3 linked regions of the Xenopus tropicalis genome follow. The protein of the gene in region 3 interacts with the protein of the main gene of each other region in a pairwise test. Links are inferred from orthologs where the notes say so. Each region holds a gene or a part of one and is shown on either strand. Other genes may lie near its edges.

What was found.
Region 1: the proteins of atn1 (region 3) and leukocyte receptor cluster member 8 interact in a two-hybrid assay, tested with the Homo sapiens proteins (2 studies listed by BioGRID and IntAct). The link is inferred for Xenopus tropicalis from reciprocal best matches to the Homo sapiens genes ATN1 and LENG8.
Region 2: the proteins of atn1 (region 3) and wwp1 interact in a two-hybrid assay, tested with the Homo sapiens proteins (2 studies listed by BioGRID and IntAct). The link is inferred for Xenopus tropicalis from reciprocal best matches to the Homo sapiens genes ATN1 and WWP1.

What each region holds. Positions count from the first base shown.
Region 1 is NC_030683.2:112,086,297-112,092,486, reverse strand, and holds the start of leukocyte receptor cluster member 8, read left to right. Parts: upstream 1-2,727; 5' UTR 2,728-2,925; exon of another isoform or gene 2,926-2,929; intron 2,930-5,901; 5' UTR 5,902-5,951; coding exon 5,952-5,989; intron 5,990-6,190.
Region 2 is NC_030682.2:125,461,483-125,467,577, reverse strand, and holds the start of wwp1 (NEDD4-like E3 ubiquitin-protein ligase WWP1), read right to left. Parts: upstream 3,464-6,095; 5' UTR 3,384-3,463; intron 1-3,383. UniProt on the Homo sapiens protein: E3 ubiquitin-protein ligase which accepts ubiquitin from an E2 ubiquitin-conjugating enzyme in the form of a thioester and then directly transfers the ubiquitin to targeted substrates.
Region 3 is NC_030683.2:9,456,376-9,461,934, reverse strand, and holds part of atn1 (atrophin-1), read left to right. Parts: intron 1-115; coding exon 116-253; intron 254-543; coding exon 544-654; intron 655-2,507; coding exon 2,508-4,210; intron 4,211-4,768; coding exon 4,769-4,961; intron 4,962-5,559. UniProt on the Homo sapiens protein: Transcriptional corepressor. Recruits NR2E1 to repress transcription. Promotes vascular smooth cell (VSMC) migration and orientation. Corepressor of MTG8 transcriptional repression.

The DNA of each region.
Region 1 (6,190 bases), about 100 Mb from region 3:
TTGTAGATGGACAAGATGCTTCAAATAACCTCACTCAGATCCTGACTGGGATTCATAATAGGTCCTGGCATTTTATGTGCAACAAAGGCCCAAACAGCCCCCACAGGCACAATAAATAGTGACTGTCTATGGCATCTTATAGCAGCCCCTCTGGCATTTGCTGGAATCCAGAGATCGCCAGTCTGGGCCTGCCCCCATTCATTTGAATGCCCTCATTGGTCTACAAACTCCTCCCCTAACCTTAACTCCCACAGCCTTATTGGCCCTTACAAGTCTGTTTTGTGTCCTGCACTCTTAAAAGAGGGTTCTCTATAAAGTTTAGAAAAGCAATAGATCATTTATCAGTCTGTACCCAACAAGGTCTCAGTTTTGCATGTGTTACTACTGTGCTCTTTCCTGTCATGAAGCACATATGATTATACCAGAAAGGTCCAATGATCTCTAAAAGATCTTTTGTATCAAGCTTCAGTGCACAGGATGTTTCCACCCTATAAAATCTGTCAGACACACAAGAATGGAAAGCAACTAGAAAAAAAAACAAAGCCAAAAAATAGCTAATGTCAGGTTTAGGCACATAAATGCTGAAACTGAATAGTAGCAACACTATGGTACCCGACCCCTCTGTCAAGTTCTCTGGATCAAGGAAAAATACTTTCCCCAATCCTTTATATACACGTGCCTTCTGTGAGGTAAATTATCTTTCTTTGTAATTATCAGAAAATATTACATGAAAGGTGTAGTTCATTTTGATGCCACTAACTTTTTAAAATTGCTTTACAATTGCATTAAAAGTGCTTTCCCAAAATATAATTTGACTTCAGCTGAAACTGGAAGTGCCCGGTCATTGTGCAAATTAAATATTTGTGGGCCGTGCTTATAATTTTTTCAGTACTGAGTAAATGTGAACCAACTACCAATAATGTTGGCTTTAATATTTGACAGGATATTTGGTCAAATTCCAGATTCCCTTTTTTACAGGAACTATACTGATCAGCTTGCTGAGGGGGAATAAAGAAAATGTTGTAGATAGCTAGTGGTTACATGCAGAGGCCAGGGCAAATGTTAGTTTAATTGATTTTTAAAGGAGAAGGAAAGTCATTTTGGCATTTTACTGCCAATAGATTCGCCACATAAGTGCCACCTAGAACACTATATTTATTCTTCAGACAGCATTGCCATACCTGGGTAAAGAGCCATAGAAGCTTTCTCTGTTTGCTTAAGAATGCAGCTGCCATTTTAGTTTGGACTTCATAGCTTCCGTCTGTATAGCTCTAGCCATTATAGCTGACATTACACATTCCTAAGGGAGGGGAGAGGTTGTTCTAGCATTCTTGTGGTGGTGCAGAAGTGAGGAGAGAGCTGCACAGATTCTGGCCCCAAGAATGAAGGATTTTCTGAAAGAGGAAATCAGATACAGGAAGAACATGTTTAAAAAAAAAAAAAGGAGACAATAAATCCTGTTTCTTTTAATGGAGGACTCACTGCATCTTTTCTGTGAGTGCTTATGGTTGTATTTACATAGACCTTTCTCATAAAGTTCACTTAGTTTTTTACCTTTCCTTCTCCTTTAACAAAATGTAACCAGATAATCCCATTATCAAAAGGGCTACTTAGTAATGTGCAGGCTGACCAAAAAATTCAAGGTCCAGCTTTGGGTGACTGTGGTCAATTTAAGTTGGGTGTGGGACACACTCAGGAAGTCTATTTAAGGTGGCCATACACGCACCGATAATATCGTACGAAACCTCGTTTCGTACGATATTCGGTGCGTGTATGGTATGTCGGCGAGTCGACCGATATCGCAGGAACCTGCTGATATCGGCCGACTCGCCGATCGCCCAGTTTGAAAATTTTGATCGGGCGCCATAGAAGGTGCCTGACCAAAATCTCCCTTCAGCGCTGAATCGGCAGAAGGAGGTAGAAATCCTATTGTTTCTACCTCCTTACCTGCCGATTCAGCCCTGAATGGTGTGTGGCACATCGTCAGATCGCCACGTGTGTGGCGAGCTTTAGTGTCTCTGCCCTCTGACATCAATGGGCTCCATTTTTGCTTCCAAAGATGCCTTCTCTTGGAGCCAAAGGCGCACACAGAAGCAGCGTATGGAGCGAGTACAAGTCCCAAAATGGCAATATTTGAGTTTTTCCTGACCCACACATCACAACTGCTCATGTCCCCTTCTATAGCCTGAGGGAGAAAATCCAGTCACCCTTAACACTCCAGTTCTTGGACTGGAATGGGAAATTCACTATTGCATAAAGCATTATAGCAATCTGTGCGCTAATAGTTTAATTTACAGTTTAAATAAAATAAAACTATCTCATAAGTTACCACAGCACTCTGCCCCCTTGCCCCATTAGCAAAGTCCCTCAAATACACAAACCGGAAGTTCCCTAAAATGGCTTCGTGAGGGTTGCCCTCCTCCCCCGACCAAACTTTGATCTGTTTTTCAAAGAAATACTAGTTATTTTAACAATGCTGCTTCTTCTTGAGCAGAATTTTTATTTGAAAAAGGGCGTAATTATATCACCAGCGTTTACTGTACTGAAAAAATATAATCGCTGTTTGCAAGGAGAAGCTCCGCCCTAGCAGCGGCCCTAATGGAGACTGCTACTCTCTTCCTAAAGACTGTTCGTCCCGCTTCTCCCTTACGTAACATACATGTTTGTATATGTATTTGGCATACGACGCTTCCAGTAGCGGGATTGGCCAGCCGCAGTCACATGGCCCGGTGACGTCACGCCCGCCGCCCACAGTTCCATTTCAGGCATACAGAAGCCGAGACTTCCGGGGTGGAAGGAAAGTAAAATGGATGCCGTTGTGTGAAGACAAGGCCCGTCAGAGCGACGAATGATATAACGAGCTTGTTAGGTCAAAAGGGCGATTTTCTTTTGTTTGTTATTTTGTTTTTAAGCGATACACAAACGGTAGGTAAGTTTGCGCGTCTCTTTCTGTTGTCTGCGGCCCTATAAATTCCTCATCGTATGTGCCCTAGCTCGGCCTGTATTGGGAGTTGTACTGTAAGGGACGTAATTACATGCAAACGGCTTGATTTAGGTGTGCGCTTACATATATAATGATTATATATATATATATATATATATATACACACGTAATATATATAATTATAACCCAGCACTCACAGGGCTAATTATATATATATATATATATATATATATATATATATATATATATATACACATATACATACACACACAGGGTTAATTAAATATGTGTATATATCTTTTTTTTTTTTTTTTTTTTTTTTACGTGTGTATGTATTTGTGTGTGTATATATATATATATTATATACAAATACATACACACAGGTAATTTTTTATATATATATAATAACCCAGCACTCAAAGGGTTAATTACTACAGCGCATCCAGCAGGCAAATAGCTTGTGTGCCCTCCTATATAAACATATATGTATATATATATATATATATATATATATATATATATATATATATATATATATATATATATACACACACAAGACCAAAAGGAGAACACCCTATAGAAATACAAATGCCCAGGGTGGTGGCAAAAAAATTATTATATAGACAGAGAGCCGCACACACAAGGACTTTGCAAAAAAATCACACTTTTAATGAGAAAAAAAGTTTGTCCCTGAGGAAGAGCACAGTTTGTGCTCAAAACGTTGGACTTGTTTTTTTCTCATTAAAAGTGTGATTTTTTTGCTATATATATATAACAATTTGTTTTTTCTGAACATTTGGTTAGGCCCCACCCACACTAAATTTTTGTTTTTGTTTCAGTCATGTGGCCCTAGTTTCAAAGGCAGGTGAGTCGCACCCCATGTGACTTTTAATTAAAGCTATTTAAAATATCTAGAAGAGCCCTATGGTTGGCCCCCTTAACACTGTACATGCTTTTGCTGATTTTGGTGTATGATGGGGGGATTCCAGTCGATTTCTGTGTACCATTCAGGCGGCTATAGAAATTTTGGTCAGGTTGGCCTAAAGAAACAACAGTGTCGGAATATGTACAATGAAATGTAGAACAGAACTATACCCAAATACCCATCTGTTGAATTTTTTCTGTATGTTGACAGAGCTGTCAATCCCCCCCCCCCATATATTTTGAAGGCTCTCCTCCGACGTCATTTGATGCATTTGCCCAGGTAGAATTTTTTGGCTTCAGCTGCGTGGCGTCATTTCTGGGTATTGGGGGAGATTTTCAGTGATGTGCTGACAAGTGCCACATTTCCCTCTGGTGACAAAGCTGTCAGGTTGATAAAAAGTGGCCACACACACAGCAGCCTGGCTCGGCATCCAACTGATTGGCCAAGAGGACAAGTTCCGTACAGGGCCATGTTTTTGTTGTGCTGTTTTTTGTTCTGGTTGAAGAATTGAAACAGTAGCTGTGGCGTTGCAGCTCCTCTTCACTTTTGGCAGGCCAGCTGAAATTTTCTCTCAGGATTGGGAATCCTTGATCCACCTCAATAGCAGTCAGAATTTCTGCCTGATTGGCTGTATATCTCAAGATAGTCGGGCACCATTAGAATAAGCATCAGTTGGGCATTGCTAATATCTCACAGTGTATAGCTGTTTCATCATAATGCCTGAATTAGCCCACAAAAATGTCAACTAGCAATAGATAATTGGCCTAAAAAAACACTGTGCCATAGCCCTAGTAATAGTCAGTCAGACCACTGACTGCCCAAATCTGGTTATCTGGCACCTAAGGAACAGTAACACCAAAAAATGTTTTAAAGTAATTTTAAAATAGTATCTGCTGTTGTCCTGCCCTGGCAAAAGTTGTTTGCTTCAGAAAGTCTACTATAGTTTATATGAATAAGCTGCTGTGAAGCCATGGGGGCAGCTATTCAAGCTGGAAAAAAGGAGAAAAAGCACAGGGTACATAGCAGATAACAGAGAAGCTCTATAGAATACAATTGGAATGTACTCCGCTTATCTGTTATCTTCTTTGTGACCTGTGCCTTTTTTGTAGCTTGAATGGCTGCCCCCATGGCTACACAGCAGGGTTTATATAAACTACAGTACTGTTTCTGAAATAAAAAAAACACAACTTTAACCAGTGCAGGGCAACGGTAGGTAATATACTAATTATTTTGATACATTTTCATTTTTTGGTGTTACTGTTCCTTTTAATTGTCATAATTATTGTAGTGAATTAACTGAAGGGAATTATGGAATACTGAGATAGTATTACAATGGCCTCTACTTTTAGTAGATTAAAAGATGTGGCAAATGTTTTTTTCTGTGTCCAGTTTTTTAGCACAAACATTTAGAGACTGATTAGTTGTAAGCTGAGCTATTCGTTGTTCTGAAACCAAACCACTCTAGCATCTGTATCTCTCATCAGCTGCTTACTCACATGCAGCATAAAACAGGCCAGGACTGGGAGTCAAAATAAGCCCTGGCATTTCAAGTACCCAGAGACCCAAACAGCCCCCCCAGCCCAATAAATAACTACTGTCTATGGCATCTTACAGCAGCCCCTCTGGAATTTGTTTGTGTGTGTATATAACATATGCATGTTTGTTAGGTTGTATCGGAACAGTCTTTGCTGTAACTTCTACAGAAACAAAATGTATGAGTTATTGGTTATGAGCCCAAGTATTGTATATTGTGAATTTCTATTAAAGTTTTTGATTTGCTGTGCTCTGTCCAGCTAGAGCTCCCTTGAATAGATTTAATTTGTCTTTAGGCAGACATACTTGTCTTTATATGACATGAATGTTTTTTAGAATCTGGAAAGTGAAACACGGATGTTAGTCAGTTCAGCTGACCAAAAAATATATCCAGCAATGTGGCAATGTCTTTTGCATTTGCACTGTTTGGTCAGCATATATTGTAGCTACAGTTGAATATGTAACATGAAGAAAATGATATTATTTTTCATTTTCATAGGAAACATTTTGTCGGCATCTTGAATCCAGAGGAGTTTTAGACGGCTTATCATGGCTACCAACCTAGGGGAGCCATTAAATAACGAGTGGTAAGTTCCAAATTTTTCTTTAAATGTGTAGTATGTAAGAGGGTTTGTAGGTTGGATTAAAATATAATGGTTTAGTAGTAACCAGGGCTGTGGCGTCTGTACATAAATCCTTTGACTCGGACACCTCGGTTTATGGTACCGACTAGGTTTTAAATTTACTAATGCATTTTACATTAGTAAATATAAAAGAACACAATATAT
Region 2 (6,095 bases), on a different chromosome or scaffold from region 3:
TTCTGTCTTGTGGGACACTGTCTCCAATGTCTCTCTCTCATAAAAATACTGAAAAAAAATATGTAAGTTTGCATATTTTGTTCTAGGTGGACTCAGTAATTCTGGTATTCTTCATATGCTTTGCCCACTGTCTCCTTGTTATCCAATATAACCTACTTGATAAGGACATATACACTGACTGTTTGGAATAAGTTACCACAAAGGGGTTTAGCCATTGTTAGAATGTAGTAATAAGACCAGTTTCAGACAGTATTCCCAAGACTCCTTGTGGGAGTGTATGAGGATGGGCTGTTCATTTATTTACCAAACTAAAGTTTCAATCAACTGGGGACAAAGGTTTTTAATAGTATTTTCAGCACAAATGGCCAAAACTAAATACATTTTTATCCACAATGAACCAACCAACCAACATAACCTTTCTTCCTTTCAAAATAACAGTGATACATGATCAGTAAACACATTTGTCATGACATGGCACACATTTACAAGTCATATTAGGTTAAGTAACCTGTTGAAGGCCCTGAGAAGGCTGGTGACCATTAATACAACTTCTAGGGCAAAGTACTACTATATATTTTTCGTTATTTATTTTATTCAATAATCTGACAATGGGGGGGGGTAGTATGGCAAGAATGAACAACTTGGACAAGCTTTATGGAAATGATATAGAAATAACACCTATGGAAAGTTTGAAATAAAGGTGTCCAACTTTTTTACCTATAGAAAACATTTAAATAAAAAGAGTTGGCAGCAACGCAAGCATGAAAAAAGTTCCAAGGGGGTGCCAAATAATGGCATATTTGGCTCTGTGTGGCAGTACACATGGCCTTTGTGCCTCCAAGTAAGAAATTCAAAAATGAACACCTGCTTTGAGGCCACTGGAAGCAATATCAAAGGGATTAGGGGAGCAACATGGTTGGGAAACACTGGTAGCTAAAGTACGATGCACTTGGTCCAAAGTAAATTTCACAAAAGATAAACAAAAGACAACGGCATACCTGGCGGGGAGTGCTTGGACAAAAAAAGGGTAGACTAAGCAGAGAGAATGCAATTAAGGGTGAAGACACAATGACCTACTACCGGTAGTAGCAGCTACTTGTCATGGCTACTAAAATGGACAATGCTGATCATTTACTGATAATTGTCTCTACATGTGTTTTAGCAGAGGCAATTCTCAGTATTGTCTATGGCAGGGGTAGCTGCTACTAAGTAGCTCTGTGTGTCTTCACCCTAAAGGTGCACAGGCGCAAGACAACACTGAGTTGGCAAAAAAGGTGGAGTGGCAGTATACCCCCCTTGCACAGCACAAGCTCAATACACAGGGCTTGTGCTGAACATACTTTGTTTTGGAGTGCAAAGTGACCTTTTGTAGTTTGCTTTACTTTTGCCTCTATTTGGGTAAGAGTCTTTACTTTTGCATCCTTTACTATATTTGCATAAGGGAGTACCCTCTATTAATTGTTGTTTTCTGAACATACTTTTTTTGCCTATTGTTTTAATCATGAAAAATCTCAATATGGACATTACATGGACACTGAGAAGACACCACAGAGGTGGCACATAAATGGATACAGATGGCAAGGAGGGTGAAGCTAAATGTGAGCATTACACATGGAGACAAGAAAGACACCACAGAGGTGGGAAATACATGGATACACTTGGCAAGGAGAGTGAAGCTAAATGTGAGCATTACACATGGAGACAAGGAAGACAAAACAGAGGTGGCACATACATGGATACACTTGGCAAGGAGGGTGAAGCTAAATGTGGGCATTACACATGGAGACAAGAAAGACACCACAGAGGTGGCACATACATGGATACACTTGGCAAGGAGATTGCAGCTAAATGTGAAGAGTGCACAAAGACACAAAGAAGACACCACAGAGGTGGCACATACATGGATACACTTGGCAAGGAGGGTGAAGCTAAATGAGAGCATTACACATAGAGACAAGGAAGACACCACAGAGGTGGCACATACATGGATACACTTGGCAAGGAGAGTGAAGCTAAATGTGGGCATTACACATAGAGACAAGGAAGACACCAGAGGTGGCACATACATGGATACACTTGGCAAGGAGAGTGAAGCTAAATGTGGGCAATACACATAGAGACAAGGAAGACACCACAGAGGTGGCACATACATGGATACACTTGGCAAGGAGGGTGAAGCTAAATGAGAGCATTACACATAGAGACAAGGAAGACACCACAGAGGTGGCACATACATGGATACACTTGGCAAGGAGGGTGAAGCTAAATGTGAAGAGTGCACAAAGACAAAAGGAAGACACCACAGAGGTGGCACATACATGGATACACTTGGCAAGGAGGGTGAAGCTAAATGTGGGCATTACACATGGAGACAAGGAAGACACCACAGAGGTGGCACATACATGGATACACTTGGCAAGGAGGGTGAAGCTAAATGTGAAGAGTGCACAAAGACACAAGGAAGACACCACAGAGGTGGCACATACATGGATACACTTGGCAAGGAGGGTGAAGCTAAATGTGGGCATTACACATGGAGACAAGGAAGACACCACAGAGGTGGCACATACATGGATACACTTGGCAAGGAGGGTGAAGCTAAATGTGGGCATTACACATGGAGACAAGGAAGACACCACAGAGGTGGCACATACATGGATACACTTGGCAAGGAGGGTGAAGCTAAATGTGAAGAGTGCACAAAGACACAAGGAAGACACCACAGAGGTGGCACATACATGGATACACTTGGCAAGGAGAGTGAAGCTAAATGTGAGCATTACACATGGAGACAAGGAAGACACAACAGAGGTGGGAAATACATGGATACACTTGGCAAGGAGAGTGAAGCTAAATGTGAGCATTACACATGGAGACAAGGAAGACACAAAAGAAGTAGCACATACATGGATACACTTGGCAAGGAGGCTGCTGCTATACACTATACATGGATATGGGCAGATTTGGCAGCGGCACTAGGAGGGTACAGGGTTCAAGTCATATGATGAATGAAGTCAGGCTAGCATTAGCCCACCTGTGACACAATAACCAGAAGCCCCTGATGAAAGGAAACAGCTAGCGAGATATCCGGTGGCCCTTAAGGCCATAGAGATGTGAGCGAGTACTGAGACCGGAGAATAGCGGATCGCAACAAACCACGACAATGAAAGGCTTGAGAGAAAAACGCAAAGCGGGGAATGGGATCACCGACAGCAGCGCAAAGCACTAGTGGTATTGCCCGTAGCTAATGCCAGGCGGAGACAAGGAATAGTAGCCTAGGGGCAAGGAGCAGAACAAGCAGTGTGTGGCACCGACATGCCCTCATACACTGCTGCGGGAAACCTATCGACTTCACCAACCAGCTGACACAGCTGCCAACATACCGGGGCGGATGTCCCGTCCTCGGCCTCCCCTCCCCTCCCCGGGCCGCCTCTTCCTCCTTCCGAGCTCCCGTCCGATTCACACGCTGCCAGCTCCGGGCACCACTGCGGCCGTCTCACAGAGCTTCCCCGGACTCCGCCCCCTCGCGTCATCAAACTCCCGCCCAGGAAACGTCACGTGTCTCCCACCTACCAGCAATAACACGGGGCGTGGCCATGTCGTGACAGGATTGGGACAAGCTTTGCGTGACGTCACCTATATAATTCTCTGGCTAAACCCGCATTAATCTGTATGAGTTTAGTTTGATGCTCCTCTTTAGACTAGGCCAGGAGGGACATGTTAAAGTTGTTGTTAAAGTTTAAATCAACTTTTTGTGTTTCAGGCAGCATTAGTTTATGGCTTTTTACTGCTCCAAGTGTATCAGCAGGGACACTTTCAGGGTTGCTATTCTACCAGTGGTAAAACACATGCTAAAGCTGGGACCAGTATAACAGTGCCATTGCGTGTCATTGCACTGATCCACCCTAATTGTTCATCCCTTTTCAGACCAGAAGCTGCCCTCTGCCCAACATGCCAATTCTCTTCTGCTCATATTATCACCCTGGGCCTTTACAGCATCACCCCACCCCCCTTGTCACCCCAGCCCAGCAGGTTAAATCATTTTTAAAAGTTGCAAACCCTATGCACTTGCCATTAGAAGCAGTAAGGGTAAAGACTCCAGCACCCCACTTGGCACTGGCACTTAGGGTGAAGACACATGGAGCTACTAGTAGCAGCTACTTGTCACAGCTGCAAAAATAGACAATGCTGATCATTTACTGATAACTGTCTCTACATGTGTTTTAGCAGAGGCAATTCTCAGTATTGTCTGTGGCAGGGGATTTTCTGGCGTTTAGTAGCTGTGACAAGTAGCTGCTACTAAGTAGCTCTGTGTGTCTTCACCCTAACAGGTAGTAGTCAAAACACACCATGTTGTCTGTACTAAGATCTAAATAAGTCTTGGCATTACAAATAAACTGAGGCTGAGACAGTCCTCTAACAACCTCAAATAAAGCACCGGTCTATGCAATTCACAGCAGTCACTACGGGTTTTGCCAGAATATTTGCCATTCCAGCACTACCCCAAGTGCCATTAGCCTTAAAGTGATACTGGCGCTAAGGGCTGTGACAGACGGGAAGATTAGTCGCCGCGTGACAAATCTCCCTTGTTGCGGGCGACTAATCACCCCGATATGCCATCCCACCGGCTTGAATGTAAATCGCCAGTGGTATGGCATATGCGGCGACGCGATTTCCCGAAATCGCACAAGTTTCCTCTCAAGGCAACTTCCGCAGTTTTCGGAAATCGCAACGCCGCATATGCCATACCACTGGCGATTTACATTCAAGCCTGTATGATGGCATATCAGAGAGATTAGTCGCCCGCAACAAGGGAGATTTGTCACGGGCAACTAATCTCCCCGTCTACCACGGCCCTAAGTAACTGTTACTTGGCAGTCCCCTCACAGAGGAACATGGGGGATCAGATAGTAGGTAATGTAATGTAAAAGTATTGGGCAAATACTTTTAAGATAATGAATGATAGATGTAAAAAAAGATTTAATTTCTGGTGTCAGTATCACTTTAATGATAAACAACCAGTACTATTGATAAGGGATTGTGGGCTATAAGCAAAAACAGACCCCACATGTTTCAGGTCAACCTGCACATCACAACAAGAGGGGGTGTCATTTTTATTAGCTCCAGATTTTTGTGTGAGGGAATCAACTGTGCTATAGTGCAACATATTCAACGCTTTTGAAACAAACCGGCATATTTTGTTGCTAAGCCTTTGCCTCATATGGCATGTGTGCTAAAGGGGCTGTGGAGAGTGTTGCATTTAGAGGATGGGATTAGAAAAGTATGTTCCTTACCCCACGCTGGCTATCATCTTCTTAAAATAATGCACCAACCTGTAGTAGTTTTCACCTAAACATTGTGCCAACATATTGTTCTGGTGTCCCAGAACAAAATAGCAAAGAAACAGGATAAATAATACAATCACCTCATGTGTGGTTCATTTACTAATAGGCAGAGGCGGGCCAAGTGGGCCAGGCACCCTAGGCGACCCAGCCAGCCACCTTGGCCCCACCACTTCCCCCTCCCCGCGCATGCACAAAAATGCGCACACACCAGGACGCCCCAGAGGGGGGAGCGTGGCATGCAAGGCGCGCAGATGCAGTGCAGGGAGGGAGCACATGGGAAATCAAATGTGGGGGAAAGCGATCCTGGACTAGGGGTGGCAGCAGAGGTACCTGCCTAGCGCCCCCTCACACCCTAGGCAGGCAGGGCCACCATCAGAAACTTTGGGACCCAGCAAAAGTTATTTATATGGGGCCCCCCATGAACACAAGCACACAGTACCAACATTTTAGATACGCCCCTTGTGTGCACAATATAAACAGCTGTTTATATAAAGAGTTCCATTGATTAATGTCGTAAGAAGTCATTCAGTTTATAGGGGGGCAGTGGAGTTTGCCCTAAGTTTAACCCCTTCCCACCTACCTGCCCCTGCTCTGTGCTGTCATCACTTGATATGTTACTTAAGTTTTTGCATAAATTACGTAAACTGCGTAAGCTTAGGTGCCCAATGATATTGCTTTGGGGTCCAATAACCAGTCATTCCCCTGTTGCAAAATTCATGAAGAATAGTAGATAGGTCCCAATGTAAACAG
Region 3 (5,559 bases):
ACTTGGCCAGTGTTAGAAGACCTTACAGATCATCCATAAAGAGGGCGGAGGTAGTTTTCCCAGACAAAAACACATTAGATATGTATGTAATATCCATAATTCTCTCCCCATTAAGATGTCGATGAGGAGTGGAAGGAAAAAGGAGAGTGTGGGCCCAAGGGAAGAGCGCAGAGCAAGGGGGAGAGCCTCCCCAGGTGCCATCAGCACCTCGAGCAGCGACAGCAAGAGTGAGAAGGGGCGGCCGAGCGGAAAGGTAAGAGCAGAGAACTGTCCCGAACTCCCCCAGAACAGTTTAAAGCAACAGAAAAAACCTGATAAACCTAATGGGGTGCAGAACCAGATTATATAGAATCCCAGCAACGCCCATATTGGAGAGGGAAGTAGGCTGCATGTTTGTATTATTGTAATTCTTTAAAGGGGAACTCCACCCAAACATAACCTAAGCTTTCTGAAAAGTAAACATAATAGCCCAGCCCTGTTTTGAGAACACAGGGATAGTAAGATTGGTAGAGAACTAAGCTCTTTTGTTATTTCTCTCTCCAGAAGGGAAGAATGGAAGATTCTGTCCCAAAAAACAGCAAGCGGGAGCGAGTAAAGGATTCCTCTGAGAGTGAGGGGGAGGCCGGGAAAACCCAGAAGAAAGCCAAGATGGAGGTGAGAAGTGTTGGCAAATCAGAATTCGCCACTAGCTGATACTGGCTTTTGTAACGTTTGTCATTAAAGGCAAATAATGTCACATTCAGCACAGTACCACCTTGCCAAGTGAGCGGATCTTCTCCCAATATCCCCATCTACGGGTGGGCGATATCGGGTGGATTTAGGCTAATTTGGTTGTTTGGCCCTGGGGCCAAACGATGGTAATGGGCGCAGTTGGTTTGGCTTGTTGATGCGGTCCCCGATCCGACTAAATTTTTTAAACTGCCCGATTTCTGGCCAGATATCGGTTGGGCAGGCCCGTCATTGGTGCCCTACATGAGCCGATAAGCTGCCGAATCGGTCTAAGGGACTGATATCGGCAGCTACAATCACCCCGTGTATGGCCACTTTTAGACTCAGGGCCAAACGATCAAATTAAAACGCCGTTAATGGGCGCAGTCGGTTCAGGGACCGCATCAACAATCAATGCGGTCCCCGATCCGACTACATTTTTTAACCTGCCTGATATCTGCCCGATTTCAGGCCAGATATCGGTCGGGCAGGCCGTCATTGGTGCCCCTACACGGGCTGATAAGCAGCCGAATCGGTCTAAGGGACGGATATCAGCAGCTAGAATCGGCCCGTGTATGGCCACTTTTAGACTCATTTGTGGTTGCCACAGAAATACCTGGGGTGACATAAAGGTGTGGGGTTATAGTGTAAAAAAAAACAGAAAAAAATGGGACAGATCAGGGGCATGTGGTCTGATCAATCAGGGGAAGCTGGCAGGCATTGGCTAGGATATGGGTGGCATAAGGTGGCCAGATCAGGGGCCTTACAAGACACTGAGGAGAAAGTCAAAATGGGCCTGCAGTTGCATTTTTAATAGCGGCCTGGCCTTGTCCCTGTCTTACCAGCTAGGCTGGGGCAGTACAAGCTGAGTGGGAAACCTTTACTTACCCATATTTGCCTTCTGATTGATAAAACCTGTGCCAGTAAGCCTGTGTGGGAGACTGAGGGGGCACTGCTAGCACACAGCCTACGTCAGCTCCCTGCAATATGATGGGAATTACAGGTAAAAGGTATTTGACAGGTTAGAAAGTCCCATTGGGCAAGGCACAAGTCAGTGTGTTGTTCCTCTCCTGATGCCTAGACCTCTATAGGATCTGATTGTTGGCCCAAGGGCCAAACGGTTGGCCCAGCATGCAGATAACCAGATCAGGAAAGGAAAGGCCCAAGGGCCAAATGGTTGGGTGGTCCTAGTTGGCCCAGCATGCAGATGGCCAGATCAGGAAAGGAAAGGCCCAAGGGCCAAACAGTTGGGTGGTCCTAGTTAGCCCAGCATGCAGATGGCCAGATCAGGAAAGGAAAGGCCCAAGGGCCAAACAGTTGGGTGGTCCTAGTTAGCCCAGCATGCAGATGGCCAGATCAGGAAAGGAAAGGCCCAAGGGCCAAACAGTTGGGTGGTCCTAGTTAGCCCAGCATGCAGATGGCCAGATCAGGAAAGGAAAGGCCCAAGGGCCAAACGGTTGGGTGGTCCTAGTTGGTCCAGCATGCAGATGGCCAGATCAGGATAGTAAAGGCCCAAGGGCCAAACGGTTGGGTAGTCCTAGTAGGCCCAGCATGCAGATAACCAGATCAGGAAAGGAAAGGAAAGGCCCAAGGGCCAAACAGTTTGGTGGTCCTAATTGGCCCAGCATGCAGATAACCAGATCGGGAAAGGATCTGCTTGTTTTTGGACCTTGCCAACTGAGGGAATCTGTGTATGTACAGCTTTAAATCTAAATCAGTGCAAAAAACAGGAGTAGCATTTAATATTCTTTGGTCTCTGTTTTATTACAATGACTACATTCTCCTTCTTGTGTCTCTAGTCTCCTGAGGTCCCGCGTCCTCCCCCAGATGACGAAAGCCTCGATGGTCAGAGTGGCAATGAGGATGGCGGCAGTGACCCACGTGACATTGACCAGGATAACCGCAGCACTTCCCCAAGCCTACACAGTGGAGATAGCGAAAGTGATGCTTCCTCTGTTCCATCCCCCAAATCTTTCCCTCTTTACCGAGGCTCCTCTCCCCCACGACCTTCTTCCTCACCTATTTCTGAGCCCACAGTTCTACCGCCCCCATCTCAAGCTCCACAAACAGCAACCCAGATTGAGCCACAGGCACCACGACCGTACCAACCGACGCATCTTCCACAACTGTATCCAAGTAATGGTGGACTAGTCAAGGCGGGGCCTCCTCAGCCTGCCCAGGTCAAGCCTCCACCCACCACTCCAATAGCAGGACTGGGCTCCCCCAGACCATTAGGCTCCCCCACAGCCCCAGCTTCTGCACCTACCAATTGTTCCTCCTCTGCATCTTATCCTCATGTGTCTCACAATTTGCCACCACCCCCGGCTCTTCGTCCACTCAATGCATCACCTGGACTTCAATCTCAAGTGGCAGAAAAGGTTGGCCAGCCACTCCCACCTACATCTGCTTCACTTCGTTATCCCCCTTATCCTGGGCAATATCCATCCAATTATCCTCACCCATACCCTACACAGGGCAAGTATAACCAACCACAGCCTGGCCCCCATTCTTCCTGGGGACAGAGTGGTCTAAACTATGGGCGTGGGGGAGGAGGCCCCTCGTATCCACAGCCACCCCCCCAAAATGGACAAGCAGCAGGTGGAGGGCAGAATATTGCTGGGGGATTTCCACCCCCCCACCATGGAAGCGCAAGGGCTCAGTCCCCTCTAAATAACCACCCACCTCATCCTCACCCCACTACTGGTGGAATTCAGTCTCCAGCCTCCCAAATCAGTGTTCTCCACTCTCACGGAGGGGCATCGGGCACTAGAGGGCAGTCTCCTAACCACCCTCTGAATAATGCCCATCACCCTCACATTCTACCAAACAGGGGGCGCTCACCTACCCCGCAGAGCAACCTGACTCCTGGGAGCACACCTCAGTCAGGCCACCAGCCAGCTCACATCTTACCGGGTGGAATTATTTCTCCAAATCCTCCCCCTCAGAACAATACCCAGCTGACATCTTCAACAGGAGGAAGTGCGAGGGGACAGTCGCCTGCACCTACAAATACCCCTCACCTCCTTCCCCAATCCAATTCATCAAGTGGGAGCATGGCTTATCCTGCGCCAGCGGAGCCCTCAAACCCACCATCTACACACCCTGTCTACCAGCCTCATTCTTCTCCATCTGTGTGCCAGTACCCCCCCAGCTCTCAGACGTATCCCAACTATCCCTTTCAGGGCTACAAAGGTGCACCTCCAGCTGCTCCACCTTATAAAACTGCCCCACCACCACCTTATAAGCCAGGATCTTTCCCTGCCTCCACACCTCCTCCTCCTTCCCAGGGATTCAAGGAGGCATCTCCTCCGGCAACGGCTCCTGCCCCTCAACCCGTCCCTCAACCTGTCCCTCAACCACCAGCCCCTGCTCCTGTTCAGATAAAACAAGAACCTCCCGAAGAGGTTGAAGGTGAAGGAGAAAGTCCAGTTCCTCCTGTCAGCAGCCCCTCACCGCCCCCAAAACTTGTGGATACACCAAGCCATGCCAGTCAATCAGCTAGGTATATAAGTATATGCACATAGCAATGCATGAGTGGGATCTTGGTGGGATACTGGTCTAATTGTATACAGAGTAATGGGCAAATGGGTGGAGCTATCAGAAGGGAAGAGAGGCAGAGGGCCCTGGTGTAAAGGGGGGAGGCCATATAAGAAATGGGTGGGTCTTCCTACAGATTTGGTGCATAAAGCAGTTCAGTGGCGTGAGCAGACCCGTGGTACCTTATGGCAGGAACCAATAGCAAATAATATATATGCACTAATATATATATATGCACTGATACTCATAACTGTGTTTAAGCTTGACTGATGGGTAAGTGGGTGGGGCCAGATATGAGATGATCATCACCGTGGTGGAATGATCATGAATGTTAATAATGCTTTGATATTGACAGAGGGCAGAGAAATGACAGTACAGTAGTGAGGTTATTATAATTGATTACTTACCCCAGTACACTTTGCCAATGGCTGGCACATACTATACTCTGCTCAATAACCCCCCCCCCCCCCCCGCTCTTATTGATACAGATTCTCTCTCTCTGCCATTACTCTCTGTGACCCAGGTTTAACAAGCACCTTGACCGAGGGTACAACTCTTGCTGTCGCACTGACCTTTACTTTGTGCCTCTGGAAGGCTCCAAACTCTCCAAGAAGAGGTCTGAGCAGATAGAGAGAGCTCGGAGAGAGAGCGAGCAGAGAGCACGCGAGGAGCGAGAAAGAGAAAGAGAGAGGGAACGTGAGCTGGAGAGAAACACGGTACGGCAGTCACTCCCCAGAGATCTTCCCTTCATGTTGCATAGCTGTCCATGGCGGATCTAGTGGGGCTCATACAGTCCCCGTTCTCCCCATACCTGCTATCTTCTACCATATGCTGCTTTATACATGGGTTCCTATTGTATTTACTTGTTATAAATTACTTAGGACATAGAAATACTTCAATCCTGTTTGTGGGTGGGTTCCTCAAGGGTGTGTCGTTAGCATCTAACTGCAGGAAGCCAAATGGATATGTCTTACATTGTATTATAAGGGGTACATGTATTATAAGGGATAATGTACCCCCTACTGTAAATGATAAGGATATTAGCAGTCACTGAGGGGTTCTGTGCCCATATAAAGGCACAAGGCTGCAGGCTGAGTTATACAGGGAACTCTGAGTATCACTCATGTATTATAAGGGATAATGTACCCCCTACTGTAAATGATAAGGATATTAGCAGTCACTGAGGGGTTCTGTGCCCATATAAAGGCACAAGGCTGCACTGCAGTTATACAAGGAACTCTATATAATAATATAATATCTGAGCTCTTATATAATACAGGAATAAATATTTTACTTTCTCTTTATCTGCTTTTT